3 linked regions of the Alligator mississippiensis genome follow. The protein of the gene in region 3 purifies or fractionates together with the protein of the main gene of each other region. This does not show direct contact. Links are inferred from orthologs where the notes say so. Each region holds a gene or a part of one and is shown on either strand. Other genes may lie near its edges.

The links.
Region 1: the proteins of MTA2 (region 3) and CHD3 purify together in Homo sapiens (affinity purification with mass spectrometry; 8 studies listed by BioGRID and IntAct, with this or other methods). This does not show direct contact. The link is inferred for Alligator mississippiensis from reciprocal best matches to the Homo sapiens genes MTA2 and CHD3.
Region 2: the proteins of MTA2 (region 3) and ZNF512B purify together in Homo sapiens (affinity purification with mass spectrometry; 3 studies listed by BioGRID and IntAct, with this or other methods). This does not show direct contact. The link is inferred for Alligator mississippiensis from reciprocal best matches to the Homo sapiens genes MTA2 and ZNF512B.

Annotation. Positions count from the first base shown.
Region 1 is NC_081838.1:24,913,068-24,922,718, forward strand, and holds the start of CHD3 (chromodomain-helicase-DNA-binding protein 3), read left to right. Parts: upstream 1-5,440; 5' UTR 5,441-5,766; coding exon 5,767-5,992; intron 5,993-9,651.
Region 2 is NC_081832.1:2,816,339-2,825,961, reverse strand, and holds the start of ZNF512B (zinc finger protein 512B), read left to right. Parts: upstream 1-5,682; 5' UTR 5,683-7,259; coding exon 7,260-7,305; exon of another isoform or gene 7,306-9,623. UniProt on the Homo sapiens protein: Involved in transcriptional regulation by repressing gene expression. Associates with the nucleosome remodeling and histone deacetylase (NuRD) complex, which promotes transcriptional repression by histone deacetylation and nucleosome remodeling.
Region 3 is NC_081838.1:3,230,791-3,240,245, forward strand, and holds the start of MTA2 (metastasis-associated protein MTA2), read left to right. Parts: upstream 1-5,426; 5' UTR 5,427-5,544; coding exon 5,545-5,572; intron 5,573-6,328; coding exon 6,329-6,396; intron 6,397-6,761; coding exon 6,762-6,855; intron 6,856-7,709; coding exon 7,710-7,827; intron 7,828-7,981; coding exon 7,982-8,045; intron 8,046-8,276; coding exon 8,277-8,394; intron 8,395-8,525; coding exon 8,526-8,628; intron 8,629-9,455. Other genes in the region: EML3 (echinoderm microtubule-associated protein-like 3), read left to right, coding at 231-369, 574-725, 1,050-1,175, 1,501-1,632, 1,815-1,882, 1,983-2,071, 2,280-2,377, 2,836-2,923 and 3 more. UniProt on the Homo sapiens protein: May function as a transcriptional coregulator. Acts as a component of the histone deacetylase NuRD complex which participates in the remodeling of chromatin.

The sequences.
Region 1 (9,651 bases), about 22 Mb from region 3:
CCAGCCAGCTCAGCTGGGTATGCTCGGCTGGGCACAGCGTGATTGGGGCCAGGGAACAGCAGTTTCCAGCCAGCGCCTTGTCTGGGTGAAACAAAAGTGCAGGTTCGGCAGCCCCAGGAGGGTTCACAAGTGGGAAGCAGCAGCTGGCCACTGTCCAGTGCTTTGGTGGCAAAATCACTGGGAGATGTTGGATGTGTTCCTCTGAGCACTCCTCTGGTTTGAAATTTCAATAATCATCAGCATAAAGTGCTCCAAATCAGCTGGAAGTGTTTTGGTGTGTGTCGAGCACAACTGGAGGTCTCAGAGTTGTGACCTGTGGGTTGGATAGTCCTGCGGGGTTTCTCACAGACTAGGCCACCTGCTTCCCCACAGGGCTCACTGCCGGAGTGCTTTCAGCACAGCTGTTTTGGAGTGGTTCCAAATCTCGAGGGGTTAATGCTGCTCACTTCCCTTGCCTACTGCCAAAACTGGGGGTTTTAGCTGCCCGTGACATTAAAGGTTGGCAGCAGGGGGTGGATCCAGCCCGTGAGGAGTCCCCATGGGACCCAACACACATGACACCCCTGAACTAAGCCCTTAGTTTGACCCAGAGTGAAATAGATTTCACCATAAAATTTAGTGAGGTTGCAAGATAGAGGGAATGGGGCTTTTTCTGGACCTGATGGCCAATTTCTGAATGATCTGTTCACCCTGGTCTGATTTCCAAGAGCAGCCCCAGGCCAGAAGGGGAGACCTGCTGCTAAGCACTGTAGAAATGTGTCAAGGAAGAGTCCACCAGCCCAGATTTAACCCCGTTCAGGTAGCAAGGCGGCTGGACTGCTGTTCTTGTAGTTGTGTGTTGTTTTATCAGGGCACACAGAGTTTTTGCACCTCTGGCAGCTTCAGTCCCTGCCCACCAGGATGCAGGTGATGACAAACAGTTGCCAAGCACAAATTAGCACTTTTGCCGGACAACCCAGGGCCGCATCAGAAAGAATATCCTAGAGGCAGACTCTGAACTCTGTAGCTAGCAGCTAATTATCTGCCCCGTCCACTTCTTGGACTCCAGAACTCTTGCTGTTCACAGTATCCTGAAGCACATGCACTGTTACATTTTGATCATATTTTGGTAATTTATGCATTTTTGTTTTCAATGCAAGGCTCATTCTATGCATTCCCAGAGGGAACCGCTCTGGGCTAGCCGGTGGGGAAACCAGTTAATCATCCTTTCTGTGCCTCCAACAGCTCTCAGGTTCAATCTTCAGTGGCCGCAAATCGATACAGCTTCACCCAGGTCAACTCGTTACAGCAAGGAGCATTCTTGGAGGATGCCAACTGGTAAGCTGTTAGCAGGAGAAGCGGGATGCGGATGAAATGTATGGCAACCGCATGTCTCAGCCCCAGGCTGGGAAATCCCAGTCAGAGTGGAGCTTGAATCGGTGGAAGAGGGGAACGTGCTATTTTTGTTGGCCTTATAAAAACCCTCTGAAATATACGGGTCCAGTTCATGGGCCGTGTAACCAGCTGGCCCAGCTCCAAGCCCAAAAGGAGCTGTATTTGTGCAGCCCAGGCAATACCATGCTATATCAGAAACACTTCGATGGGACCCCAGCTGCTAAAAAAAAAAAGGGTGTGCCTTGGCCCTGTCAGAAATCTTTGCCCTGTTTGGCTGCATGTAGAGAAGCGTCAGTTCCTGCCCAGAAGAGATTTTAGATTTAAACTGGAAGGGGAGACCCAAGCAAGGATGTTAGCACCCCGCGGAGAGATTGAGTGGCAAGACTGAGAGGGAATCTGTATCAGAGGCTGTTTCTGGGACTCCACCCAGCGCCTCAGCCGCACAGCTATAGGCAAGATTAAGCAGGGTGATATCCTGGCCTGGGGGAAGTTGATGCTGGAACTCCTGTTTGCTTCCAAGGTCCTGGAAGCCTTGGCCTTGGCATGCCTGCCCTGTTCCTGAAAGCTGCCACGCAGCCTTCCCTTATTAGAGAGGAGAGTAAGGCGTGCAGTAGGAAATCAGCAGGGAAGAACTGCCAGCAATTGCCTTGGAAGCAAACAGGCAGTTCCCCTGGTGGGGGGAGGGCAGGCGGCACTCGGAGCCAATCTTTGACCCTCTTGTCAGCCGAACGGCGGTGGGTGAAGCCCTTCAGATAAACACGACAGCTCCCCTATTAGTGTCATTCTGTATGGGTCTGCAGTGCAATCCCTGACACTTGATGAGCTACAAAGAAGCATCAAAGACAGTGAGAGACAGATTGAGGAAAAAAGGAAGAGAGAAGAAAAACCCTTGCTGCTCCCTGAGGGATCTAGACCAAGCCACAAACAGCCAGGGTCAAGTTTAAGCTGAGTCTCACTTGTTGGCAGGAAATGCGCGCCTTGCTCTCAACATGTATCGGGGCCTATCATGTGCAATGGCATGACCTGCTCCCCCCCGACCGCAACTCAATGAGCAGCTGAAGAGGCAGGTTAGCGCTTTGTCCTGTTGGATCTCCCTGTTCCCCCCCCAGGCAGCTCAGCAGATGACAAAACCAGCTGAAGATCCAAGCAGCCACAGAGAGAGGGAAGAAAAAAAACTCCAAAAAAACCTTGGAAATTGCCTTTGAAAGAAGGAGAGAAAAATGAAAACCAACTCAGGTTCCCTCTGGCCTCCAAATTCCTCCCCAATTGTTGGCTTCCAGCAGCACCGGGGAACTGTTTTGACATGAATGAATAGGCTCGACGCCCAGGCTCCTGGGGGGCCGGAGGGGTGTTGAATTAAATATAAAAGGCACAGAGGGAACCATTTGGTTGGCAAGCTGCGAGTCCCTGCAGGCGATGGGCATATCCTACGCGGGTATTTATGACTATCCTACAGGGGGAAGATTGCCGAGAAGGAAGCAGCAGACGCCGCGTTTCCAGGGATGTGTGTGCAGATCAGAGGCATGTGAGGGGGAAGAGTCCAGGTGCTCCCACAGAAAATCTCAGCCCCATGAGATTTAATGCCATAATTAAACATATAAACACACCACTCTTTGCTAAATCCTTCCTGTTAATGATGGCTCCAGCTGTAAGGTGAGGCAAAAGTCTGTTGGTTCCAGTGAGGCTTCTCCAAAAGGTTGGATGTTCTCTCTTTGCAAGATGACCTGGGTTTGGACCTGGTTAGGGGTTCCCACAATTTGTTTAGCGGGAAAGATAGTCCATGGCCCTCTTTTCTCTTTGTGGAACGTGCTGGGGCTGTCTTACAGGTCTGGAAATTGAAAGCCTGGTATCCGGAAAAGATTTGATGCATTTCCGCAGGCAGCAAAAGACTCGATCCATCCTTCCTGGCCTTCAACAGCAAAGGATTTTTGTATCTCAGACCAGCAGGCCACACACAGAAATGTTAATGGGGCAGGGGCACAAAGCTAATAATCATCCCAGCTGATCTGGGGAAACAGAAAGGGGAGAAATTTGGGACCACAGATCACCACTGACATGTTGGGGGAGCGGCGGATTTGCACAATGGAAGGTTCGAGGGACATCACATCTCCTGCATGCTTCACACCATCCGGGGATGGACCACTAGTCAAGCAGGCACAGTTGCATACCCTGATCTGCACTTTTTCACCCACCGACCCGCCAGTTCTAGAAACGATAAAACTACCATCTCTCAATCCAGGGGCCTGGAAAGACTGTGCCTAAACAAAACCCATTAAGCAACTGGTAGGAATCCTCACTCAGGCCCTGACCTTGCTGTCGAGTCTGCTCACACGGAAGTGGTGGGCGGTGGATGACATTCTGGAGGCTCGTCCTGCAAAGCAGGATACAGCTACCAAAAAGAACAAGAGATTAAAATGAGAGATGGTGTCCTTCATTTCTTTAAGGAAGGGGGTCCTGGCTGCTCTCGTGTTGGAGGCCTGGAGGAGGGAGGTTGGAAAGTAACAGCTACGGGGGATGGCGTTCTTCACGTGCTTACCTAGGGAGGGCGAGGATTTGGTATGCAGCGGAAGCCCAACCATGCCGAAAACGTAGAAGTCTGGAATTCCCCCAATCTACTGGCAGTTCCCCTCGCCCAGACTCCTTATTTAACACGTGCATGTGTCCCCTTGCTCATGTGAGCAGACCCAGTGGATCAGGCCCTAGGGACCTGCTTGTGGTTTTTGACATGCCTTTTGCTTGCTTGGTCTAGCAAGGTCAGCAGGTCCTCACAACTGTCCAGAGGCCGTCACAGGATCAGAGCCCTCCAGAATATCGTGTCCTGGTTTGTTTGTTTTTTGGATGCACCCCACTTTCTATTTGTTTTCTTGGGGAGGGGGGATGCAAAAAGCACTTTGCAGCACTTGATACCAGTGAAACACTTCAGTAAAATAGTTCAAGAGAAAAATAAAATAAGGAAGACACTGAAATATTTGTAGTCCCCAATTTTTAGTGTGCGCGCGTGTGTAGCTGGGCGGGGGGGGGAGGTAAGATGGGGAAGGTATTTAGAAAGAAACAGAAAGGATGGTGCTTTTTTTTAGCAGAAGGAAAATAAAAGTGCTGGAAAATAAAAATACCTGACATGAGCTCCCCCCCTCCCCCCACCAAAAAAAAATAACATCAAGGAAAACAGTTAAATACTTCCTAACAATGCCCTTAAACGAATTTGGACCCTACACTTAAATGAATTGCAAGGTTGTTTTTTGGGGTTTTTTTCATTGCCAGACAGGCTAAAGAAAGAAAGAAAAAGCCACTCCCTTCTGAAGTATTTAGAAGTAAGAAAGGGAAGGGGGAAAAAAAGCCCCTTTCCCCCCACTCTCGCGTAGACTAGTAAAGAGGAAGCAAAAAAAAAAAAAAAAAAATCATGGTGTTACTAGTATGGAACTAGTTAACCTTTAACAATTTATGCTGATGTCATACTGAGCATGAGTACTGATTAATCCAGCCTTTTCTCTCCCCCCCACCCGGGTAAAAAATATTTTTATTGAGGGAGGTTGGGGGGGGGGAGTATAAGAAAAAAAAAGAAATAATTTAGAGCAGCCATCTTTGTTTTATGCAGAAATCTTTCTCTTTCAGTTCCCCCAGTGCCAGGAATATACAAATATTGTTCATCTATGCAATGATCTGAGATCTTTGCGAGAGATTAAAAGAAACCAAAACAAAACAGAGAGAGAGAAAGAAAGAAAGAGCTATCTATATTTATATATATATTGAGAGGGAAGGGGGAAAAAGGGGGGGAGCGCAGATTTTTTTTGGGGGGGGTGGTTATTGGTGCCTGATTTTTTTTGTTGAGGCTTTTTTTTCCTACTCTTTTTAAAAATCTTTCTTGGGTTTTTTTTTTTGTTTTTTGTTTTTTTAACCTCAAGGAAGAGGTGTGTGTGTCGGGAGGGGGGGGGAACTTTTTTTTTTTTAAAGAAGCCAGCCATCTTGTTTTCTTTAAAAAAAAAAATAAAGAAAAGGGGTGGAAAGGGGGGGGGATTTTTTTTTTCCTTTTTTACCTCCTGGGGGGGCCTGTTTTAAAAATAATTGAAGGGCGGCCATTTTTGCTCCTTGCTCTTGTGGAAAATATTATTCTGAGCGGCCCCCTCAGCTTTGATAGAGATATATATATATATATTTTTACCCCCACCCCCTTATTTATTTTTTTTCCACGGGGGGGGGGGGGGGGGGAGTTGAGTGGAGTTTTTTTCTCCTTTTTTTTTTCCTCTCCTCGCCCCCCCCTTTTTTTAACCCTTTTCTTCATGGGACTTTTCCCCCGTGCTGTGTTTTCGGTGTTGTGAGGGGGGAGAGGGTTCGTGCGTGGTGAGGGGGGGCTCCCCCTTCCCTCTCCCCCTCCCCGCCCCCCCCCGCACCACCATGGCTTCCCCTCTGAGGGAGGACGAGGAAGAGGAGGAGGAGATGGTGGTGTCTGAGGCGGAGGGGGATGAAGACGAAGAGGAGGAAGAGGAGGAGGAAGAAGGAGCAGGGGACAACAGCCCCGGCGACATATTCCTGCCCGCCGCCCAGGCGGGGCCCATGCCCCTGGCGCCAGCCCCAGCAGCATCCACTCCGCCCGCCGCCGCGGCCACTGAGGCGCCCGCAGGTAAACAGCCCCCCGCCTCCCCCCCGAGCGGGGCGCCCCCCCGGCCCCTGTTTGTAAACAACCAACGGCTTTGGAACGTGGCGGCCCGAGGGTTCCACGCGCCCCCCCCCCCCCGCCCCAACGGCTCCGCCACCGCGAGGGGCCCGGCCCGGCCGCCCCTCCCCCCAGCAGCGTCCGCGGCCGGGGAGTTTCTGCCCCCCCCCCAGTTGGGCCGTTGAAGGTGGCGGGAGTTTGTAAACACCCCCCCATAGTGGGTGGTGGGAGTTTTTAGCCCCCCCTCATATTGGGCTGTTGAGAGTAGTGGGAGTTCGTAGCCCCCCCCCCCCCGGTCTATATTGGGTGCTGGGAGTTTTTAGCCCCCCCCCCGCATATTGGGCCGTTGAGGGTGGCAGGAATTTCTGAACCCCCCTGTATAATGGGTGATGGGAGTTTTAACACCCCCCCCCATATTGGGCAGTTGAAGGTGACAAGAGTTTCCAAGCCCCCCTCTGTATTGGGTGGTGGGAGTTTCTAGCCCCCCTCCCCCCATATTGGGACATTGACAGTGATGCAAGGTTCTGCTCCCCCCTCTATATTGGGCCATTGAGAGGGGCTGGAGTTTCTAACCCCCCTTTATATTGGGTGGTGGGAGTTTCTGCCTCCGCCGCCATATAGGGCCATTGAAGGTGGCTGGAGTTTCTAGCCCCCCCTCCTCTATGTTGGGTGGTGGGAGTTTCTAGCACCCTTCTCATATTGGGCCCTTGAGGGTGGGGGGAATCTCTAGCCCCCCCCATTGGGTCATTGAAGGTGGAAGGAGTTTCTACCCCCCCATATTGGACTGTTGTGGGTGGGGGAGGGGTGGGGCTTAGGAGAGTTTCTAGCCCCCCCTTGAGGGTTTCATGGGGGGGGGTTCCTCACCCTCGGTTCCTTCTCCACCCTGGGTTGGGGCCTGAGAGTGTCTAGCTCCCCCCAGGAGATTGTGGAGGGGGATCCCCCTTGTGTCTCCACCCTAGGGGTTGGTAAACAAGCCCCCCCCAGGGAATTGTCTCCTTAGGCAGCAGCAGTGGGGGGCAGACCCCCATCCCCCTTTCCCCCCCATCACTTTAGCCAGGTGCCCCCTCCCCCCACACGGTAGGCCCCACACTGCTGAAGTGCTGAGTGCCCCTCTGTTTGCATGCCCCCTCTTCTTCCCCTGCCTCAAAGATGGGGGGGGGGGTCTGGTCACTTCAGGAGGAGGGTCACTTTGATGGGGGGAGCCATCCTTAGTGTGCTTGGTGGTCTGCGGAGTGGGGCCTGGGGTCAGGATGCAGTCAGTTGGCAGCAGTGGGGGGCACTTGACACCCTCTGGCCCCACAGGGGGTGGGTTGGCAGGAGTAGAGGGTGCCCGTTGTGCCAAACAGGCCTGTGCGTTTAAGCAGGATGGTGCTGGCGATGGTGCAGGCCGGGTGGGCGGGAGGATGTGCGACTGGATGCGGCCCGTGGGTACTTGGCAGCAGGCCGGGCTCTTGGCAGGCAGGTTGGGGCCCTGTGGGGAGCCCGAGGCCGGGAGGGTGTCTGCCAGGTTGGACAGGGCTGAGATCACTCGGGGTCACCATGCTCAGTGGCTGCTGGGCCTTGGCCAAACGGAGGGCGCCGCACAGGTGGCATCTGGTTCTCCGCCTGGGGATCAGCCCTCGCCCTCATGATTTTTGTGGGCACAGGGATCTCTCAGCACCCAGCTCGATGGGGCTGGCGGGATACGGGGGTCCCCTGCAGGGCTGAAGCTCCATCAGCAAAAGGTGCCCTGGCAGATCTGCCCACCGGGAGCAGCCGGGGTCAGGCCTGGTGGGCGGGAAGGGTGACTTGAGGACAGGGGGAATCGGGCAGCCCGGGGTCAGGGCCACATCAGCTGCCGAGCTTGTCTCTAGGGACAGGCCTTGTCAGCCGTGATCAGAGCAAAGGCGGGGAAGCCGGTGCCTTATGGGAAAAAGCTTCAGGTGGCGGGACAGGCGAACCCGCACACCAGTTGCCTGGGACATGTTGCCTCGGCCTCTGAGCCCTGGGGTGCTTGAAACCCCAGACCGATATAGCCGGGAGCCTTTGTTGTTGGTTTTGAACGCGCAGCTTCCCCCAGCGGAGCTGGCTTTGATTTGCTCTCTGCAAATCACGGAGCCTGGGGGAAGATGTGAAGTGTTGGGAAGGGGGGGCGGTGGAGGCGTGTGTGTATCAAATGCCGCCATTTTCCCTTCTGGATCAAGCCCCATTGCTTGGAGCTGTGCACGCTCATCCCCCCCCGCCTCGCACCCACTGTCTTCCATCACAGGATTGCCCACGGGGTCCTCGACTTCTCGCTCGCTCGCTGTTTCATTCATGGTTAAACACGGTGGGTTTTAGCATCAGCCCCAGCTCTTGGTGCCTTTATAATCTCCCGCCATGAAGCATTACATTGAAGATTCCAAAGTTACTCTGTTCTTGATTCGAGAACAAGCCTCAGTTTAATTACTGGGCCGCAGCAGGCTGGCTCAGGCAAGAGTGGCGTAGGATCAAACGTCCCTAGAGACCCTCGGGAACCTAACTCTCTTGGGCTTTGTCTCCCAAGGGGAGACCGGACCTAGGGCAGTGACACCCACCCCATCTGGAGTGCGGCCACATCTGGCGCGTTGTTGTTGAATCCAGGTCCAGATATTTGGGCGTGGGGGAGCGGTGACAAACATTAATTACGGCAGCAATAAGTGCTCCCATCCCTGCAGCACTTCCAGACCCATGGGTTGCTTGATGAGCCGGCTCCAGAAACCTAGAGGCTTTAGGCCCCTCGGTGCCAGTGAGCAAACCCTGCCTCACCTATTAGAGATGTCTCTCAGGGCTGGTGCTTTGAATCAGTGACAGAATGAAGGGCAAAGGATATTTCTTCTTTAAAAAGCGGGAGGGGGATGGGGAAATTGGATTGGATACCCTCATTCTGGTCCCCAAATGGGGTTGTTTCATTTAAATCCTGTGTTTTAAGAGGAGCCGTTTTCTGTTCCGATGGGCTGGATGCACGCGGTCTCAAACCTCAAACCCGCCTTGAGGCCTCAAGTTCCTTCCCCCCTGGGGAGCCCTTGGCTTTCCTGCCCCTCAGGTCAGACCCAAGTGAGTGAACGTGTATTGTGGAAAAATTGGGGTTGGAAGGGACCTCAGGACGTTATCTTATCCGAGCGGAACCTGCGCCGGCCTGGCTCAGCTTTGGAGGCCAGGGCATTCATGTCGGGGCAGGCTGCGGTCCTGCCACCTGTGCCAGGCTCTGAGTCCCCGAAGCAGGTGGGCGTGGAGCTTGAGCTGGACTTCTCTGTCTTTTTTGGCTGCTTCTTCCGCCTGGAGCTGGACGTGCTGGGACGCCCTCCCTGCCAGCTGGCGGAGGTCTCCTGGTATTGCACGTGGAGTCCCCATTGGGCAGATTCGCAACCTGCCCATCTTAATGAGCGAGGAGTTCACAGGGCCAGAGCCATACGACGGATCTGAGCCCGCCCCAGCTTTGCCAGTTTTCCCTTCGCTGGTGCCAGATTCCTGCTACGCCCCCGTGGGCCTAGCTGGAAACTGCTTCCCCTTGAATTTTCCTCTCCCCCCTCAAAATTGGAAACCACAATTGCTTCCGTGGCCTTTGTTCTGGGTGACGATATAGCGGCTCCCTGGCGCGGGGCGGGAGGGAAGTGGGGGGGTTGATT
Region 2 (9,623 bases), on a different chromosome or scaffold from region 3:
GGAGCAGGGAAAGGAGTGTCTGAAGCAACTTCATGACCCATTTCATTGAAAAACGTGGGAGCCTCTGTGGGGAGGAAGAAAGCAGCTGGATTTTGCTGGATCCAGAGATGTTGGCTGGGTCCAGGCATGCCTTAGAGCATCCTCGTGGCATGGCAGGACCTCAATGGCTGGGATACCCTGGTATGCATCAAGGGGTGAAAGCCTCACCCTGGACAGACAACATTAGATGCATTTCTACTAGCCCACGAAGCCAGCTGGCACGTCGGCTTGGGCCTTCCCAGGGTCTCTGCTAGCTCCAGCCAAGCAGATGCCGTTACGTGCCCAGGGACGCTATCACCTGCTGGCAACCTGGCTCCTATTCATGCGGCGCAAGACGCACCTGCCGCTTCTCGTTGTGCGTGGGCCAGGTTTACGAGAGCTCCTGCTTTATTACCTTGTTCACAAGGCCTCGCTCCTACCTCACTAAGTTAGCAACGCTGCTCTCGGCTTAGCTTGCCGGCAGACGCCTGCTCTTCCAGGCCACGGGCTAGATCCATCTCCCTTGGACTTGAAGCCAAAGATGATTTTGGGGGCGCGGAGTTCTGGCACGTGGCTGCACGTTCCCTATGGGGTACCAGGCGCATCTTCCGGCTGCCGCGAGTGATTCCCCACATTGCCGTTCGAGCAGGAATAAGAGCAAGCGTCTCCTCCGCGTGCCCCAGGGTGCCGGCCTCCAGCGCAGAGAAGACGTACTAATCTGTGCCCCGCTGATCCCAAACAGCCCTGTCAGGCCCATGAACCATGCAAGAAACTCTTCAGAGTTTTTTAATTATTATTATTTCCAAGGCTTTTTGCAGCACAGCGGGCTACGTTCGGGTCCTGCTTGCACGACGCGATGGGAAGAACGGGGAATGACTTGAATGCAGAATGGGGGCTCCCAAATCCTTCTACCTCACCTTGGGTTGGGGAAAGCCCAGGCCTGGTTTTACCCGTGTAGTGGCCGTGCTTCTCTGGGCCTCGGGTCCTTTACCTGGGCCAAGCCGACGCTAGTGCACAGTGCCCTCGAACGGGGAGGCATTGCCACGTCCCGGAGAGGGGAGTGCAACCCGTGCGTGGGTGGCGGTAATAAAGGCACTGCATGGGTGGCGCGAGTGGGACGCTGTGCCACCCTCGCAAGGGCGCTCTTGGCACGCCTGGATCAAACCTGCCGCCGTTTCTAGCCACGGGCAGTCACACCCGGCTCCGCTTTGCACTAGCCCGTGGGATGCACACGGGGAAACCGAGGCACGCTGCCTTCGGGGCCCTGCCCGTCCAGAGCCGGGCGAGGGCCACCGCGGGGCGGCTGGACGCTCGCGTGCCCGCTGTCCCGGGCGCGGGGGAGCTGGGGAAGGCGGAGCGGGACACGCTGCCGGGCGCTGCGGGGAGGGGGTTATCGGGGTGCGGGCGCGGGCACGGGCCGGCGGGGAAGGAATAACGCGAGAGTTGCAAGTTGCTTTTTCCAACCTCTTCTTTCCCGGCTGCAAAACTGGCAGAGGCGGCGGAGCCGGGGGGGAGGCGCTGCGTGTGTGCGGTGCGGGTGCGGGTGCGGGGCGGCGCGGGGCGGCGCGTGCCCGTCCGCCCAGCACCGAGGTAAGCACCGGCCGCCGCCCGGCCTCCCCCGCCGCCGCTCCCTCCCTCCCTCCCTCCCGCTCCCGCTGCCGCTGCCGCTGCCTCTCCTGCCGCTGCATCGAAAAGTCGCCATTTTGCTTCACTGCTTTTCCCCTCCCGGCCCCGCGGCCCCACGGCACGGCCCGGCACGGCACGGCCCGGCACGGACGGGGCGGCGAGCACGGCACGGCCGCACGGAGCGCCAGGGCCGGCCGGCGGTGGGGCCGGGACGCGGCCGGGCGCGGGAGCACGCGCAGGTGGGGCCGGGGCAGGTGGGGCGGGCTGCGTGGGATGCGCCCAGGTGGGCGGGTGAGTAGGGGACGTGCAGGTCGGATGCGCCCAGGTGTATGGGGGACGTGCAGGTGGGCGGGATGCGCCCAGGTGGGCGGGTGAGTAGGGGACGTGCAGGTCGGATGCGCCCAGGTGTATGGGGGACGTGCAGGTGGGCGGGATGCGCCCAGGTGGGGCGGGTAAATAGGGGACGTGCAGGTCGGATGCGCCCAGGTGTATGGGGGACGTGCAGGTGGGTGGGATGCGCCCAGGTGGGGCGGGTAAATAGGGGACGTGCAGGTCGGATGCGCCCAGGTGTATGGGGGACGTGCAGGTGGGCGGGATGCGCCCAGGTGGGGTGGGTGAGTAGGGGACATGCAGGATGGATACACCCAGGTGTATGGGGGACGTGCAGGTGGGTGGGATGCACCCAGGTGGGGTGGGTGAGTAGGGGATGTACAGGACGGATGCACCCAGGTGGGGTGGGTGAGTAGGGGACATACAGGACGGATGCGCCCAGGTGGGGTGGGTGAGTAGGGGATGTACAGGATGGATACACCCAGGTGGGGTGGGTGAGTAGGGGATGTACAGGATGGATACACCCAGGTGGGGTGGGTGAGTAGGGGATGTACAGGATGGATACACCCAGGTGGGGTGGGTGAGTAGGGGATGTACAGGATGGATACACCCAGGTGGGGTGGGTGAGTAGGGGATGTACAGGATGGACACACCCAGGTGGGTGGGGGACGTGCAGGTGGGCGGGATGCACCCAGGTGGGTGGGGGGACATGCAGGAGGGATGTCCAGGTAGGGTCAGGGCGGGTAGGTGACCTCCAAGTGGGGCTGCGCGGTGGGGACACGCAGGTGGGGCGCATTCAGTTGGGAGCTCCCGTGTGATTCCAGCCCGGGGCGGGGCAGGCGAGACCGGGCCGCCAGCTGGAGGCAGCGTCAGGCCGTGGCAGCTCCACCGTCACTAGACCCAGGCTGTCCCTGGGGGTCGGGGCGGCGTGTACCCTCCAGGCCAGGGAAGGGGCGTCTCTGCGAGACCCGTTCACTGTGCGCCGGCCAGGGCTGTGCATGCCCTGGGGTTATCGCCGCTCGTCACCTCTGGGTGCCTACATGCTCTCTCTGCCACTGCTTCGTGGCTGCAGGGGGGCGGCAAGAGTTGCTAGAGCAGAAACTGTAAAGCACCCTGGGCTTCCCACGCACCCAGAGATGTCCTCTGCGAAGGAACTTGGGCAGATTTCCCGCCCGCTCGAGGACACATTCGGTCCCTGCTCGGACAGCTCACGAGGAGACATGGAGAAACTTCCAGCCCTTCCTAAGCCAACGGGGCTTTTTGGTGGGTGCGTTTGCAACGGTGCTGCTGAAGAAGGAAGGAAATGAGTCCCTCAAGCGCGGTGTTTTGCGGAAAACGGAGGGGCGCGCAGCTCGCAGAGAGAGGGGAGGCTCTAAGAAAGTTACCGAACGGCAGATCGGCGCATGATTTGGGGGAGATGGGCGGAAAGGACTGCGAAACAGGAACGACGCAGGTCCAGGCCCGTGAGCCTTGCCCTGGGCCAGAAGAAAGGCTGTGCTCCGGAGTGAACGTCAGGCCTCTGGCGCTAACGAGAGCCAGGTAAATCCAGAGGCTCCCGCGGCTGCTCTCAGCTGCGTCCCTCTGTCCACGTGCGCCCGGCCTGCGCCCTCCTGCTGTCGGCTCGCAAGTTCTGCAGCTCGGGGCTCTTTTTGGCACGGAGCAACACGGGGAACATTTGCAGCAGCTCATAAATTATTCATCCTAAGTGAAGGAAATTGCCGAGGTCTCAGCCTGTTCTACATTAGGCATGTTCTTAACGATGTGGTTGGCACTTCACCCGGGAAGGGCAGGGGGAGTGGACCGTATTAAGGACCTGCAGGCCTCTTTTTTCCCCCTCTTTCCAGTCCTACAGATGTACTGGGGACTCTTAGATCCCAGCAGTTAGTGGCTGATGGCATCCACGCAGATAACCACGGGCCGAGATTGAAGGGACCAAACTCAGGTATAAATGGCTGCAACTTCATTCATTTGACCGGAGGCATTTAGCGGTGAGCAGAGGCTTTTCTGCACAATTTTCCCTCTGATGCGTCTTGTCCGATGGAGATTTTTAAGGCTTCCCGACGGCTTCCTTGGAATACCAATCTCTGGGTCTTGGCCACCAGGACCCAGGAAGCTGGCCAAGAAGCCTTGCAACTTCCAGTGGTAGGTCTGCTTACGATGCAGGGGAGACATTGCCCAGAACAATTAAGTAACTGCGATATGAGCTTTGCCTCTGTAGAATACATTGCACATCGATGGGACTCATGCCAGCTTATCCCAAGATGAACTTGACCCCAAAGGGACTGCATGACAGTGCGGCCTGTTCTCCGTATCCCGCTTCGTGCTGTCGAGCGAGAGCATCGAGGCCAGGCGTTTTTCCATGAGAACAAATTTGAAGTGTGTATGTAGGTTGTGTTGTCTCACGTGTCTCCCTCCTTGCTCCCACGTTTGGCTTCTGCGTTGTAATAACTTCTCATTGGACTCTGCATTTGGGGGCTTACCTCGTATCGACGCGCCTGGTCCTCGTGTTGGCCAAAGGGCGGAGGGGGGCGAGTTCAAGGATTAATCGGTTAAAATGCGCTGGTTCTGCCTGTTGCTTCTGGCAGGCTAGGACCAGATGCTTGAATTCGGGCTTCCCTGTAGCAGACCGGTGAGGTGTCACTTAATCACAGGCCTGACCCGCTTTTCTGCGCCTTGTGGGAACACCTGAATCGATCTCAGATGTCATTAACATGCCACGTCCCAGCACGACTGTATTTAGGGGCTGCTGGGCAGGGGGGATTTTTGTTTTGCTATTGTAAATTGAAACTGGCTTTCAACCCACCCTTAAGGAAGCAGAGGAGAGAGGTTGGAAGTCATCAATCGTCTTGATCTAGTGTGCGCGGGGAAATAAAAGGGAGACGTTTGGATATGCCGGGCTGGTTTCTGCTCTGTTGCTCTGGGGTGAGCACACTAAAAGCCACGGTGGGGTTGGGAGCAGATTTTTTGCCCTGCATAAACGGTATATTAGCTGGGATTTTAAGCTAAATTAAAGAGAAGGGCAAAGCTTTTAAAGAAGCAGCTGGGGAGGAAATAAAATCTGCGAGAGTTACAGAGCTGCAGGGCAGGGTTGGCTGCGAGGGGTGCGTTGAATGGAAGGAGCCGCGATTGTTCGGTGTTCAGGGTCGTTTTTCATTGAAGACACGCAGCGTAGCTTTTGGATGCGAAGTTTTTCCAGGTGCCAGCATATCTCCTGGCCCAAAGCTCCTCTGCTGTAATTTGTCATCTAATTAGGAGTTCAGTTAAGCATGGCAGTGTCTTAGGCCTGGTTTTACTGTGGGATTTGGTCGTGTGTCAGGAGTTTTGTAGGCTGCTTCATGTGTTTGGAGTGACCTGCTTCTTCCAGGGCCTGGGACATGCATCCTCAGCCTGGGGTCAGGCCATTTCATTGCAGCTTTAGCCCGGCTGGAGCTAATATATGGAGAGTCCTTCCTGGGATTTTTGCCAGGTGGGGTCACGATCCTGAAACAGGTATAGAGTAAGAGTGGGGGTTCGTCCTGCTTCTGTGCTCAGCCCAGCTCCTCTCTCCTCCTCCTTCCTGAGCCTTGCTTAGCCCCCGTCACATGAAGCTTCCCCAGCGTGTCGCACAGCGAGCCGTGTTCACGCAGAGCGTCTGTGACAGCCGGGGAAGCCCCGACTCCCAGGCCCCTGTTCTAAGCACTGGACCACGCTGGCCCCCGTGCACCAGTTGCAAGGGAAACGTTGCAGTCTGTCAAGTAAATAATAAGCTCTTAATTCTAAATGATCAAAGCATGCACATTTCTGCCATCAACACCGAGGTTTTATGGTCTAGCACTGTGGTTTTTTCTACCTTTTTTCATGTGTGGGCTCCTAAAAAATTTCTAATAGAGGTGCCAGACCCCTTTGAGTTGTCAGCGTGCATATTCACCTACTTTTGCTTCATCGTAGTCACCTTTTCCAGACCCCTTAGACATAGCCTGCAGACCCCCCGCAGGGGTCTGAGGACTATAGGTTGAGATCCACTGGTGTAGTACATGTCTAATTAAAACATGGCATCAGTATTCAGTAACACACCTGAACTGTACTGCTCTGGGAAGTGCTTTGAATTGTTACACCGTCTTGTGTTCACGGCTGAGACCAGCCATGTCAGGTTTTCTTGCGTTAAGTCTTTATTTCGGTGCCGTGCTGTTCTGTCTGTCTCCCCGTCTGCCTGTGTGTATGTAGCCAAGGAAATTAAATTCCAAAGCAGATCTATGTAAGCAATATCCCAGGTTGGGGATGAAGTTGCAGTGAGCACATACCTCAGTGGTTTCCTTCGGTATTCTGTCACATCAACACAAAAAACCCAACCCTGATTTTCTTCCTCATCTTGGTTTACCCCCTCCTTTGCATTTGCTTTCTAAGGATGACTGCACTGCGAGGTGTGTTCAAGGGATATAGGAAAGTAGGGCTGCAAGGGACCTCGTGAGGTCATCTCGGCCGGCCCCAAAGGGGTGCAGCACACAGTAAGAAACATTGGAGGAAAGGGAGTTTATTGATAGCGTTGGCTCTAGGTTGGGGCTCTCGGGCTTGTGCTTGCTCAGCGAGGGACCAGGTGTGACGCCGGGGGAGCTGGGTGCACAGACAAAGGGACTCGACACTGCTCCAAGTGAGCAGGCCAAACAGATCCCACGCAGGGTGTCTGGGCACCGTCTGTGGATCCAAGCCCATTCAGGGGCTGGGACGATGCAGCTGGGGCTGGTCCTGTTTGGAGCAGGGGGTTGGACTAGATGTGACCCCCTGAGGTCCCTTCCCACCCTCATTGTCCATGAGTCTCTGATAGGGATAACTCGATAAATAATTGTTCGATGGGAGACTCGTGTGTTGCTTGTACACAATCATGCCCTGCCCTTTCTCCTTCTTGTCTCCTAGCCTGGAAGATCTAAGTTAGTGGGGTGAGGACTGTCGGATGCTATATATTTGTGCAGTGCCTTGCACACCAGGGCTGCCTCCACCTGCTGCTGGGATCAAATCGTAGATAAAGCTCAAAGAAGCACACCAAGAAGCTCAGCTGGTGGAAGTCACGGTGCCTCTGCTGAGCTCCAGGCACCCGAGAAGGTGGAGACGAGACTGGGATGTCTCACTCGATCGGAGGATGACTAACCCTGGTGTCTGGGAAGATGACTAATCTTTCAGTACCAAAATTGCAAGCGGGAGAGTCTCGGAGCATTACCCGGTGTCCCCAACGTGGCTGGCTTTCAAGCCCAATGCACTGTCCTTGGCCACATAGAGAGTCCCATTAAGGACTCTCGGCTTCTTCCAATTCCATGTGTCCCCGTGTGAGGAGCGATGCCCTGGACATCAAAAGCATGCGTGAGTTGATGCCTGCACACCTTGTAGGATCAGATATCCAGGCTCTTAAGTGCTTTGCAGCTTGTCCAACAGCCCACCCTCCAGAGAGGGGCTTGCTGACCCGCAGGGGGCTTGCTGAATGAGCAGGGATGGGCTTTTTCTGGTTCTTTTTGACTGGGTTTCGGGCAGATGGAAGCAGAAGCAGCAACGTTGTTGGAGGTTTGGGTGTTGAGTCTAATCCGTGGCTTTGAGGGTGAAGTGGTTTGGCAAAGAGCAGAATGGCAGTGATCTCGCCAGGCCTCAACACACTGCTTGAGCAAAAGGGTGCACTTACCAAGTTGCACGTGAGCTAGCAGGAAGCTGTAGACCTTCAGGCCAGAAGGAATCGTTGCAGTCGTGTGCCCCCCGGCTAGAGCCTGCCCCGTCCGTGCAGGTTGCTGCCGGGGGCTGAGAGAGGAAGTGGCTGGGTACCGATAAAGCCACGGGGGCTGAGGAGTGGGGAGGGTCTGCGGAGGGTGGGAATTGCAACACCTCTGCTAGAAGGAGACGGTTGCTGTCGGAGAGGGGATGAACAACAACACCCTGCCCCTGCTTCAGCTCCGAGGAAGTGGCTCCGTGCATCAGGGCTCGGCGACAAGCAAGGATGTGGCTAGGCAGGCTCAGGGGCTATAAACGGCCTCCAAGCCACGCTGCAAGATGTGGTTGGCTGTAGAGCCAGCCAGGTCAGGCTCTGCCCGCTGCCCTTATCCCACCCGCGCGTCAGAGCCCAACACTGCTGGTCGTCATCTGTCTCTGCTGAAGCCAGTGGGGAAATTCCCATTGATTTCAGAGGTGCAAGATAAGGGAGCCTCTGGTCCTCTTCAGAAAACTGCCCGGTGGGATCATAACCCAGGCAAGGACTGGCACCAGGAGAGGAAATGGAACTGGGACAAAACGGGGGGACAGCTCGTGCCTGATTTCGGGACGTCTGGCACCGTCCTGGTTCTGGAGTCTAGTCGCATTAACTAGCACCCAGTCTTTCCAAACACGCTGTGCTTCGTTGTCTGTATCTAACGCGTGGAGGCGCAGGGCGCGTTGGGAGGTTAGTTGCGCTATGCATGTTCTTTATTTCTGAGCAGATGTGGCCGGCAGATGTGCCACGAGGGGCCCCGGGGTCTCCAGGCTGCCTCCGTTTCTGCTGTTCTTCTTGTTCACTTCTTGCATATCGTTAAGTTCTTTTAACACCCCTAAAAAGTGGAAGTTGGCAGCGCGTTCCTGTGTCCTTGCAAGCTGCAGGATGTACAGGGCTGGAACATGGGATTCTGTGTCCCAGGCTGGCACCGACTCGTCGGATGTTGTCGGGCAAGTCACCGAAGCGCCATGTTCCTGCAGGATGGATGTGCCAGCCTGTCAAGGCCATGGGTCAGTGTCTACGAAGCGTTCAGATCTTGTCCCATGGAAGGATGTGCAAAATGCCTCGTCTCTGCCAGGGATCTGTCTAATGGCAAAGGGAGAGAGGAAGAGAAGGAGCCACCTCTGAATGCAGCGGTGGTGCCCCCTTCGCCGTGCAACCCCGGATGCCTGGAAGCACGCTCCTCTCGGCGGTGGGTTTGCAGCATGTTCACCTGAAACACCCATGTAGCGTGGTGGGGACCGCAGTTCAGACCTCTCGGCTCAGCCCAAACCGCGGACCCGAGTCCAAGTTGAGGGCCGATGGTGCAGACTGCATTCCCAGCCCTGAGGACTTCAGGTGAATCCCACCACGGGTGGAGTTGCCCAAGTTGGTGGAATCGGCCTTTACAGCAGAGGCTCCGCACTCTCTGCTTTGCCCCGGCCACGCGGTCCGCAGCGGGCCTGCTCTCTGTCACTCGCCACCTCCGGCACCGGGGATTCAGCCCGCGTAGCAAGTGTTACGCACACGCCGAGACTTCTCCACCTTAGCAAAAGCAAGAGGAGCTTCTAGAGCGCATCGCTCCGGTGTGTCATTGCTGTTGTGCTTGCCATGCAGAGAGCAACCCACGTCCTTACACTCACACCACTCGTGATCGCCGAACGTCCCTCCCACCATTCGTTTCATCAGTGTTTTGCAGCGCGTTTGCAAATGCTCAAAACCGACTCGGACCAGAACCGCAACAACCGGCCGATCCAAGAACGAATCCGGCCGCCGTTGGACTCTATGGCCGTTTGGGAGCGAGATTGGGCCCTTCCGGATCATTTCTGATGTTCATTATTTGTCAGGGAACCAAACTGAATTATTAATATGGAGAACGGAGATAGCGTTAACGACTCTCGCTTTATAACAGTTCCCCATTAATAGCGAAAATTGCAAATTTATCACTCGATCTGTTCATTAAAACTCG
Region 3 (9,455 bases):
CTGTCACCCAGACCCCACTCCCCTCCCAGAGCTGAATTGAACCCAGGTGTCCGGGCTCCCTGCTCTCCACACCCAGTCGTGCTCCCTTCCCCAGGCTCGAGAGATCCCAGGTGTCCAGGCTCCCAGCTCCCCTGTTCTCATCCCCCAACACCTGGGTTCTCTCAGGCCCAGGGGCTTGGAGCAGGGGGTCTGGGTTCCTGCTCACCCCCCCACCCCCGTTCCTCCCCCAGAAGTACAAAAAGCCCAAGTTCATCCAATGCTTCGTGTTCGATGCTGGTGGCGACGTCCTCACAGGTGATTCGGAGGGGAACATCCTCACCTGGACCCGGGCAGCTGCTGATGTGCGCACGCTGGGCCGGGGCGCCAAAGGTATGGACCACTGGATGCCTGGGTTCCCTCTGCAGAGGGGCCTGGATGCCTGGGCTCTTTCCAGCTCTCAGAGGGGAGTGGGTGAGAGCACAGGGGGCTGGGTTTTCTCTAGCTCTGGGAGGGGGAGGAGGGACTGGGGGGGAGAGTAGGGGGCTGGGGGCCCGGACATCTGGGTCCTGCATTGACCTCCCCATCCCCTTGCAGAGACGTATCAAATCGGTCGGCAGACCCACGCACACGAGGGCAGCGTCTTCGCACTGTGTCTGCGCCGTGACGGCTCTGTGCTGAGCGGGGGGGGCAAGGACCGGCGCCTCGTGCACTGGAGCCCCGAGCTCAGCCTGCTGCAGGAGGCCGAGGTGATGGGCTGGACACCTGGTTTCTCTCGGGGGTGGTGTTGGGGGTGAGAGCTGGGGGGCCTGGGAGGCCGGACACCTGGGTTCTCTGGGTGGTGAGACTGGGGGGTGAGAGCTGGTAGGACTGGGTGCCTGAGTTGTCTCCAGCCTGGGGAAGGGAGTAGGAGTGCGGGTTGAGAGCAGGGAGCCCGGATGCCGGGGTCCTCGGGGGCAGTGGGGGATGAGAGCAGCGGGGGCTGGGAGCCCAGATGCTGGGCTCTCCCCAGCTCTGGGGGCTGGGCAGGGTGGTTCCAGCTGCCCCCTGACACCCCCCTCCCACTCCCCCAGCTGTCTGAGCGGTTTGGGGCCGTGCGCACCATCGCAGAAGGTGCCGGGGGGGAGCTGCTGGTGGGGACGACACGCAACGCAGTGCTGCGGGGGGGGCTGGCCCAGGGCTTCGTCCCCATTGTCCAGGTAATGGGGGGTATAGCTACACTGGGGGGGGCCTTGGGGGGCTGGAGGTTCCCAGCCTGCCCCGTTCATGTGCCCAGCAGCATCTGGATGTGCTGTAGGGAGGCTGAGTGGGCTGTGTGGGGGCTATGGGGCCAGAAGGGAGCTGTGGGAGTCCTGGGGGGGGGGGGTTAGAGCTGGCAGAGGCTGGGGGTCCGAGCCCACCTTGCTGCCTCAGGGTGCTCGGACGAGCTGCAGGGGGGTTGGGGGGTCACAGCTGCTCCCCTCCCCAGGGGCACACGGATGAGCTGGGGGGGGGGAGGGGTCACAGCCTGCTCTGCTCCCCCAGGGGCACACAGATGAACTGTGGGGCCTGGCCACACACCCGCGGCTCTGCGTCTTCCTCACCTGCGGCCACGACCGACAGCTCTGCCTATGGGACGGCGCTGCCCACAGCCTGGCCTGGAGCCTGCTCCTCGAGGTGGGGGGGGGGGCCTTTGGGGGCTGTGGCGTCAAGGAGAGTCTTGGGGGACTCTGCAGCCCTGTGGGGGTGTTTGGGGGGTGGTCTGTGGCCTCAGGGGGGACATTTGGGAGGGCACTTGGGGGTGCTGGACCTGCAGCCTGGGGGGCTGCTGGGCCCGGCTGACGCTTCCCATCCCCCAGGACACAGGGCTGTGCGCTGACTTCCACCCCAGCGGGCAGGTGGCGGCCGTGGGACTCAACACTGGACGGTAACTGCCCCCCCTGGGGCGGGGGGTGGGGGGGCAGCTGGTGCCCCCCCTCCCTCAGGCCCTTTTTTTCCCAGGGGCCCTGACCCCCCATCCCCTACAGGTGGCTGGTGCTGGACACGGAGACGCAGCAGGTTGTAGCCAGCGGCTCGGACGGCAACGAGCAGCTCTCGGTCATGCGCTACTCACCAGGTCGCACCCCCCCCCCCCCCACGGAGTCACCCCCCACCCTCTCCATGGTTCCTCCTATCTCCCCTACAGGGATTTATAGGGTCACAGCTCCTCCATAGGGTCACACCTGCCCCCGTGGGCCCCCTCCTCCCCTCCAAAGCCCCAACCCCCCTTTCTGCACCCCCAGGGTCCTAGCCCCCCCCATGGGCTCACTGCCCCCCCCTTGCAGACGGGGAGTTCCTGGCCATCGGGTCCCACGACAACTTCATCTACATCTATAGCGTGGGTGACGGTGCTCGCAAGTACAGCCGCCTTGGCCGCTGCACGGTGAGCCCTGAGGGCCGGTGGGCAAGGGGGCAGGGGCAAAGAAGGGGGGGAGATCTCTGGATGCTAGGTGGGGCAGAATCAAGGTGAGAGGGTCTGTCGGTGCTGGGGGGCGGTCTCTGGGTATTGGGGTCTGGGAGGCGGGTCTTGGTGCTCGGAGGGGCAGGGGCAGGTAGGGGGATCTCAAAATGGGGCTGGGGACTGGGGTGGGCTTTGGCTGGGTGTGGGAGTCTTGGGGTGCTGGGTACAGGAGCAGGGTGGGGGGTTCTGGGTTTGTGGGGGGGTCTAGAGTGTTGGGGGGGCTGGGGAGGGGTACTGGCTAGGGTACGGGTCCAGCCATTGGTCAGACTGTCAGCATTTGGCCCTGGGACGGGGTCCTGGGATGGGGCTATAGGCCTCTGGCATAATGGCGGGGTCTGTCTGTCTCATGCCCCTGCTATACCCCCCTCCCCCCCTGCCAGGGTCACTCAAGCTTTATCACCCACCTGGACTGGTCCAAGGACGGGAAGTTCATCATGTCCAACTCAGGCGACTATGAGATCCTCTACTGTGAGCTGCGGGGGGCTCCAATGGGCTGCGCTGGGGGGCTCAACTGGGTGTGGCAGGATTGGAGGGAAGGGGGTTGCATGGGGTTGGGTGTCTCTGGGGGTTTCCAGGTTGGCTGGGGGGGGGTTCAGGGAGGTCTCCATGGGGGCTGGGAGGGTGGGTAGCTGCAGGGTGGGGGGCTCTCCATGGGATGGAGGCTGTGGGTGGGGTTGCATGAGGTAGAGCGGGGTTGCATGGTGTGAGGGCGGGTTGGAGGGGTCTCCATGCGGCCTGGAGGATGGGGTAGCTGCAGGGTGGGTTGCATGGGTCTGGGGTCCCCATGGGGTGAGGGGGCTGGAAGTGGGTTGCATGGGGCTGAGGAGCTTCCAAGGGGGCTGGGGCTGGAGGGAGTCAGGCTGTGCATCCCCCCCACACCCCTTCCATGCCCCCCCAGGGGACGTGGCTGGGAGCTGCAAGCTGCTGCGTAACCGGTTCGAGAGCCGGGACCGGGAGTGGGCAACGTACACCTGCGTGCTCGGATTCCACGTCTTCGGTGAGCTGGGGACATGGGGAGGGGGACCCTGGGGGTGTCCCCTGGGGGTGCCGGGGAGAACCAGGGGGGGCAGGGGGCACAGAGGAATGCCCACACGTGCTCATGTGTGTGCAGGCGTGTGGCCGGATGGCTCGGACGGCACAGACATCAACTCCCTGTGCCGGTCGCACAGCGAGCGCGTGGTGGCCGTGGCCGATGACTTCTGCAAGGTGCATCTCTTCCAGTACCCCTGCTCCCGTGCCAAGGTCAGATGCCCCCCCCGCCCCCTCCCTGGGGGTTGGGGTGGGGGTGCCAGGCCCTTCTGCCCTGGACCTGAGGCAATTCTGGATCGGAGAATTTCTGGGGCAGAGGGCCCTGGCTGTCTTGGCGTGTCTCTGCCCAGGGCATCTTGCCTGGAGAGGGGGCAGGTATCAGGGTGGGGGGCACACTCCGCCTTGTAGGCCAGGTAGTGGGTAGTGTGTCTTGAGGGGGGTCTCTGCTGGGGGTGGGGGGACCGGGGGGGGTTCCACAATATGGCTGGCCGAACTCGAGGGGTTTCCTGAGGTTTTAGGGGGGGGTCTTATATTCAGAGCTGGGGTTGCTGCAGAGAGTGTGGGGGTCCTGAGGTTTTGGAGGGGTCTCTTATTGGGGTGGGGGGTTTCAGTGCAGCTGGGGAGCTCTAGGAGGTCTCATATGGGGTGGGTGGCTCAGCAGGGCCTGGAGGAGGCTCTGGGACCTTAGGGGGGCACTGGGGTTCTATGGGGGGGTCTCAGCCCCCCAACTCCTGCACCCCACAACTCCTCCCTCCCACAGGCCCCCAGCCACATGTATGGTGGCCACGGCAGCCACGTGACCAACGTGCGCTTCACCCACGACGACGGGCACCTGGTCTCGCTGGGGGGCAAGGACACCAGCATCTTCCAGTGGCGGGTGCTGAGCGGGGGGGGCGCCGTGCCCCCCCGCAGCCGCTCCTTCTCCTCCACCTCCCTCTCCTTCCAGGAGGCTGGGGGGGGGCCCTGAGTGCCCCCCCCACCCCCAGCCAGCCGCGGCACTAACTCACGCTAACGATGTGACCTGCTTCATTAACCATAACTCCCCCAGGGCAGAGCAGGAGGGGGAGGCAGGCAGTGCCAAAGCAGGGAGGGGCCAAGCACCCCCTCCCTCCTCCACGGGACCAAGTCTGGGGGGGGCAGGATGCAGCCCCCCCACCTTCGTTTACATTCCCGGCTGCTCCAAGCCGCTCTCGACACTGTGACAGGCCCAAATAAAGCCTTGGCATCAGGGGCCGGGCTCCCGTCTCCTTCCTGGTGGGGCGGGGAGGCTCGGCTGGGGCAGTGGGGGGGTCTGCCCCACCGCAGAGGTGGCTGCATCTTTGCGTTGGGCTCAGAGGTATCCCTGGATGCAGGGGAGCTGTGCCCCACCCTAGAGGTGGCTGCATGTTTGCACCAGCATCCCCATGTTCCACCTCAGCACTGGCTGCATCTCATCAGCGCCTTGGGGTTGGGGCTAAAGAGTCACTAACTGGGGGTATGGAGGGTGCATGTCTATTTTTTTTGGTTCTATGCTAATATATGCAAATAGAAGCCAGATCTATGCTCATATATGCTAAAGAGGGCGAGGGAGTAAAAGGGAAGAAATGGTGCGACACGGCGAGGAAAAGGTTAATGGGGAGCCGGAAAGACCCGAAGTACCCCCCCTTTCCGGAAGGAGCCGAAAGCGGCGGCGGGCGGAAAGACTCGAGTGCTGCCGGAAAGAGCCGAAACCGAGCCAAGGCTCTTCCGGGGGGGGGCCCGAAGCTAGCAGCGGAAGTGGCCGAGAGTGGAGTTAGGGGCGGAAATACTCGAGCGCCGCCGTAAATACTCGAAGTGCTGGCGGGAATGCCCGAGGTGGTGGCGGAAGCGGCAGGGCGGTGACGGAAACGCCCGAGTGATGCCGGAAGTGCCCGAGCTGGCGGCGGAAACACCCGAGCGGCACCGGAAACGTCCGAAGCGGAGGCGGAAACACCCGAGTGGCGCTGCGTGAGGAGGAGGAGGCGGCGGCGGGAGGCGATGAAGAGCGGCCGGGGCTGCCGGTAGCGAGCTCCGCCGAGCCGAGCCGGGCCAGGCCCGGGGCCATGGCGGCCAACATGTACCGGGTGGGCGGTGAGTGCGCGCGTGGGGCCCGGCACCGAACCGGAACCGGAACCGACCCCCGTCCCCTGGGGGGGAGGGGCAAGTGCCCCCCCTGGGTATTTGGAGGGGGTGGGGGGAGTTGAGCCCGTGGGGGCTGGGGTAGATATCCCCCGTGGGGCATTCGGGGGGGTGAGGGGGGCAGGTCATCTCGGGGGTAGCTTGGGGGCAAGTGGAGGGGCTGGGTTATGTAACCCCCCACTGGGGTATTTGGAGGGAGTGGGGGCAGTTTGAGGGCCTGGGGGGTAACTTTTCAGAGCCCTGGGGTGTTGCTGGGGGGGGGGTAGCGGCCCCCCCCAGGGTATTTGGAGGGGGGTGGGGGTGCAGCTCTGCCCCCGAGGGGTGATTTGGGGGTCCCTGGGGTAGCTCGGCCCCCGAGGGGTATTGGAGGGGGTCGATGAGCTCTGAGGGGGCAGTTTGGGGGGGCTGGGACAGGTCATCCCAGGGGGTGGGGAGCCGTGTGGGGGAGTGGGGGGCAGGCGGCCCCACGGGGAGTTTGGGGATCCCGGGGGGGTGTATCTAGATGGGGGCTGGGGGGCAGGTCAGGGCGGGGGAGGGCAGCAAGAGAGATTCAGCCCCTGGGCGCGGGGGTGGGGATCGCCCCGGGGGCCGCAGTCGGGGGCACTAGGCCTCAGGGGGGCTGATTGCAGGGGTCGGTGCTGGGGCTGGGTTGGGGGTCCCGCCGCTTTTGCCCCCCCTGACAGCCCCCCCTTCCCTCCCCGCCCCCAGACTACGTCTACTTCGAAAACTCCTCTAGCAACCCCTATCTCGTCCGGCGCATCGAGGAGCTCAACAAGGTGAGAGGCCCCGGTGCCGCCCTGGGGACGGACCCCGGCAGGATGGAGTCGCGCCCCCTCCCATGCCCCAGGGGCTGGCGTCCAGGCCCCTTCCCCCCCTTTGAGGCCCTGCTCTGGGGCAGTTCTGCAGAGGGTTGAGGGGGCTCGGCTTGTCTGGGGGTTGCACGGGGGGAGTCTTGTTTGGGCTGGGGTGGGCCTGGCCTGCCTTGGGAGATGAGGGGGTTGTGGGGCAGGTCTGGGGGGGCAGAGGAGGGCTTGACTGAGGGGATGTGGGGGGTTGCAGACCAAGGCTGGGGGGGCTGGGGAGACATGCAGGGGGCAACTGTGCCCAGGGCGCTGTGGCAGCCTTTCACTCTTGCCCCCAGACAGCCAACGGCAATGTGGAGGCCAAGGTCGTCTGCCTCTTCCGGCGCCGTGACATCTCCAGCAGCCTCAACAGCCTGGCCGACAGCAATGCCCGTGAGTGGGGCACCAGGGGGGAGCTGTGACCCCTCCCACTGTGGAGGGAGGGGGGTCTATCCTGGGCCTGGGCTGAGGGTGACGGGGTACAGAGCAGCCCAGGTCCAACCCCAGGGACTGAGCTGCCCTGACTTGTCTCTGAGCAAATTGGGGGCTGGTTTTGTTTCTCCCAGCACTGCCCGTGTAGCAGGGGCCTGGGAGTGGGGCGCAGGGGCTGAGGGCCCGGGGTGAGGGAGCGCTGGCAGAATTTGGGGGTCAAGAGTGAGGGGCGTTGGCAGGGCTAGCGGGGGCTGCAGGTTGGGGGTGAAGGGCACTGGCAGAGAGCTGCGAGTTGGGATGTGAGGGGCACTGGCAGGGATAGGGGTTGAAAGGGACTGTGGGGTTAGGAGTGAGGGACCGGCGGGGCTGAGAGGGGCTGCAGGTCAGGAATGGGAGGCACTGACAGAGCTGGGCTGAGGGGTGGCGGGTTTCCTCCCACTGTACCATGCAGGGCTGCCCTGGCCCGTGACCCGGTGCAGCCTGGAGGCTGCAGACCACGTGGGCTTAATGGCATTGGGGGGGCGAGGGCTCTGCCTGGGGTTTCCTGGGCGCAGGAGCAGGGGTAGATTTTCCACCCCCAAGCCCTTGGGCAGCTGCCAGGAGCTGGAGACAGGCGGGGCTGGACCGCAGCTGCCTCCACGGAGCCGCTTCCTGCCATGGGGGCTGGGGGGAGCGGCTCTTGCTGGGGGCGGGGAGGGGGGCCTGGAAGTGTGGGCAGGGGTCTGAGCCCATCTCCTTGGCATGAAGAGGGAGCTGTGTGGAGCTACCTGACACCCCCCCTTCCCCTGCTCCCCCTGCTTGGCATGTTCCCCCAGGGGAGTTTGAGGAGGAGTCAAAGCAACCAACAATGACAGAGCAGCAGCGGCACCAGCTGAAGCATCGCGAGCTCTTCCTGTCCCGCCAGTTCGAGTCGCTGCCGGCCACTCACATAAGGTGTGTTGGAGGGCACCTCAGCAGCTACCAGGGAGGAAGCTTTGCATGTGGCAGGTGGGGGGGTGGCAGGTGAGGGGGGGGGGGATTCCTTGAGCTGGCCTGGGCAGGGAGGGAACTCCAGCATGTGACACGTGATCTTGCTGGTTGCCCACAGGGGGAAGTGCAGCGTGACACTGCTCAACGAGACTGACATCCTGGGCCAGTACCTGGAGAAGGAGGTGAGGGGGGGTCGTAGCTCTCTGGGGGCAAGGTCCTGGTCTCTGTAGAGCTTGGGGGGGGGAAGAACTGTTTTGGGCTGGGGTTGGGGGTGCATCTCCCTGGAGGTGGGGGAGCTAGTCTCTTTTGGGCTGGCAGCTAGGGGGAGGGCAGTTCCCTGGGCATGGGTCTGGAGGGCTGGGGGCTCTGGGGTGTTCCCAGCCCAAGGTTCATTTCCTCTCCCCCGGTTCCAGGACTGTTTCTTCTACTCGCTGGTGTTCGACCCTGTGCAGAAGACCCTCTTGGCCGACCAGGGCGAGATTCGTGTCGGCTGCAAGTACCAGGCTGAGATCCCCGACCGGCTGGCTGAAGGTATGGGGAGGGGAGGGAAGGGGACCGCGTCCATCCCCCTTGGCTGGAGAAGGGGATCAGGACTGTCTCCCAAGAGACTAGGCAGGCAGTCATGTGTGTGGGGCCTCCCCTGACCCAGCTGCTTCCCGCAGGTGAGTCTGACAACCGCAACCAGCAGAAAATGGAGATGAAGGTCTGGGATCCCGACAACCCCCTAACGGACCGGCAGATAGACCAGTTCCTCGTGGTGGCCCGGTGAGGGGAGTGTGGGATGGGGGGGAGCAGGGGGGAAGGGACGGGCTTTAAACAGCCTTGGAGAAGTCGGGGGGTCTAGAGGCCCAGAGCCACAGGGTAGGGTGCTAGGGCCAGGCTGTTCAACTGGTGGGTAAGAGGAGCCCTGAGCACTGCCAGAAAGAGCAGGGACAGCTCTTCTGCTCCCAGCCACACGCGAGAGCATAGTACTGGGACCTCGAGCCAAACACCTGCCCTGGCAGCACGGGGAGCAGTGGGCGAAGATGCCTGATGGGGTCTGGAGGAGGCTGGCCAGACACTGGGGGCTGAGCTCAGTGCGACTGCCCTTGCTCCCCCTGGGGGCTCTCCCAGGCCTTGGGCCTTTGCTGCTATTGCTGCACAGGGCTGGGAGGGAATTTTTCCCCGCTCTGTTGGTACAGAAGTCAGGGGTTTCTCCCCTTCTTTTGTGGTGCTGGGTGCAGCTGTAGCCAGGCTAGGGACAGTGACCAGGCTGTGCTAGGGTTCCTGTTGTGGCTCAGTCCTGGAGGCTTCTGCCTAGAGAATCTTGCTGCCCACTTGGTCACTCTGATGTTGCCTTGCCCCCCACCGTGGTCAGACTGATATGGATTGGGGCAGGGAACAGTGTTCCCTTTCTCTGCAGGGCGGGCCTGGCTTCTGCCTGGGCTCTCTCCAGTGCCTTGAGCTCCCCTGGCAGCAGCAGGCCACTGATACCCTCGCTCTTCAGGGCCAGGCCTGAGGGCTCTGGGCATCTGTGGGATGGGCTGGGGAGTGGTACCAGCAATGGGCCAGACCATGGTGTGTCTGGATAGATCGTGATGGGGCTGAGCCCC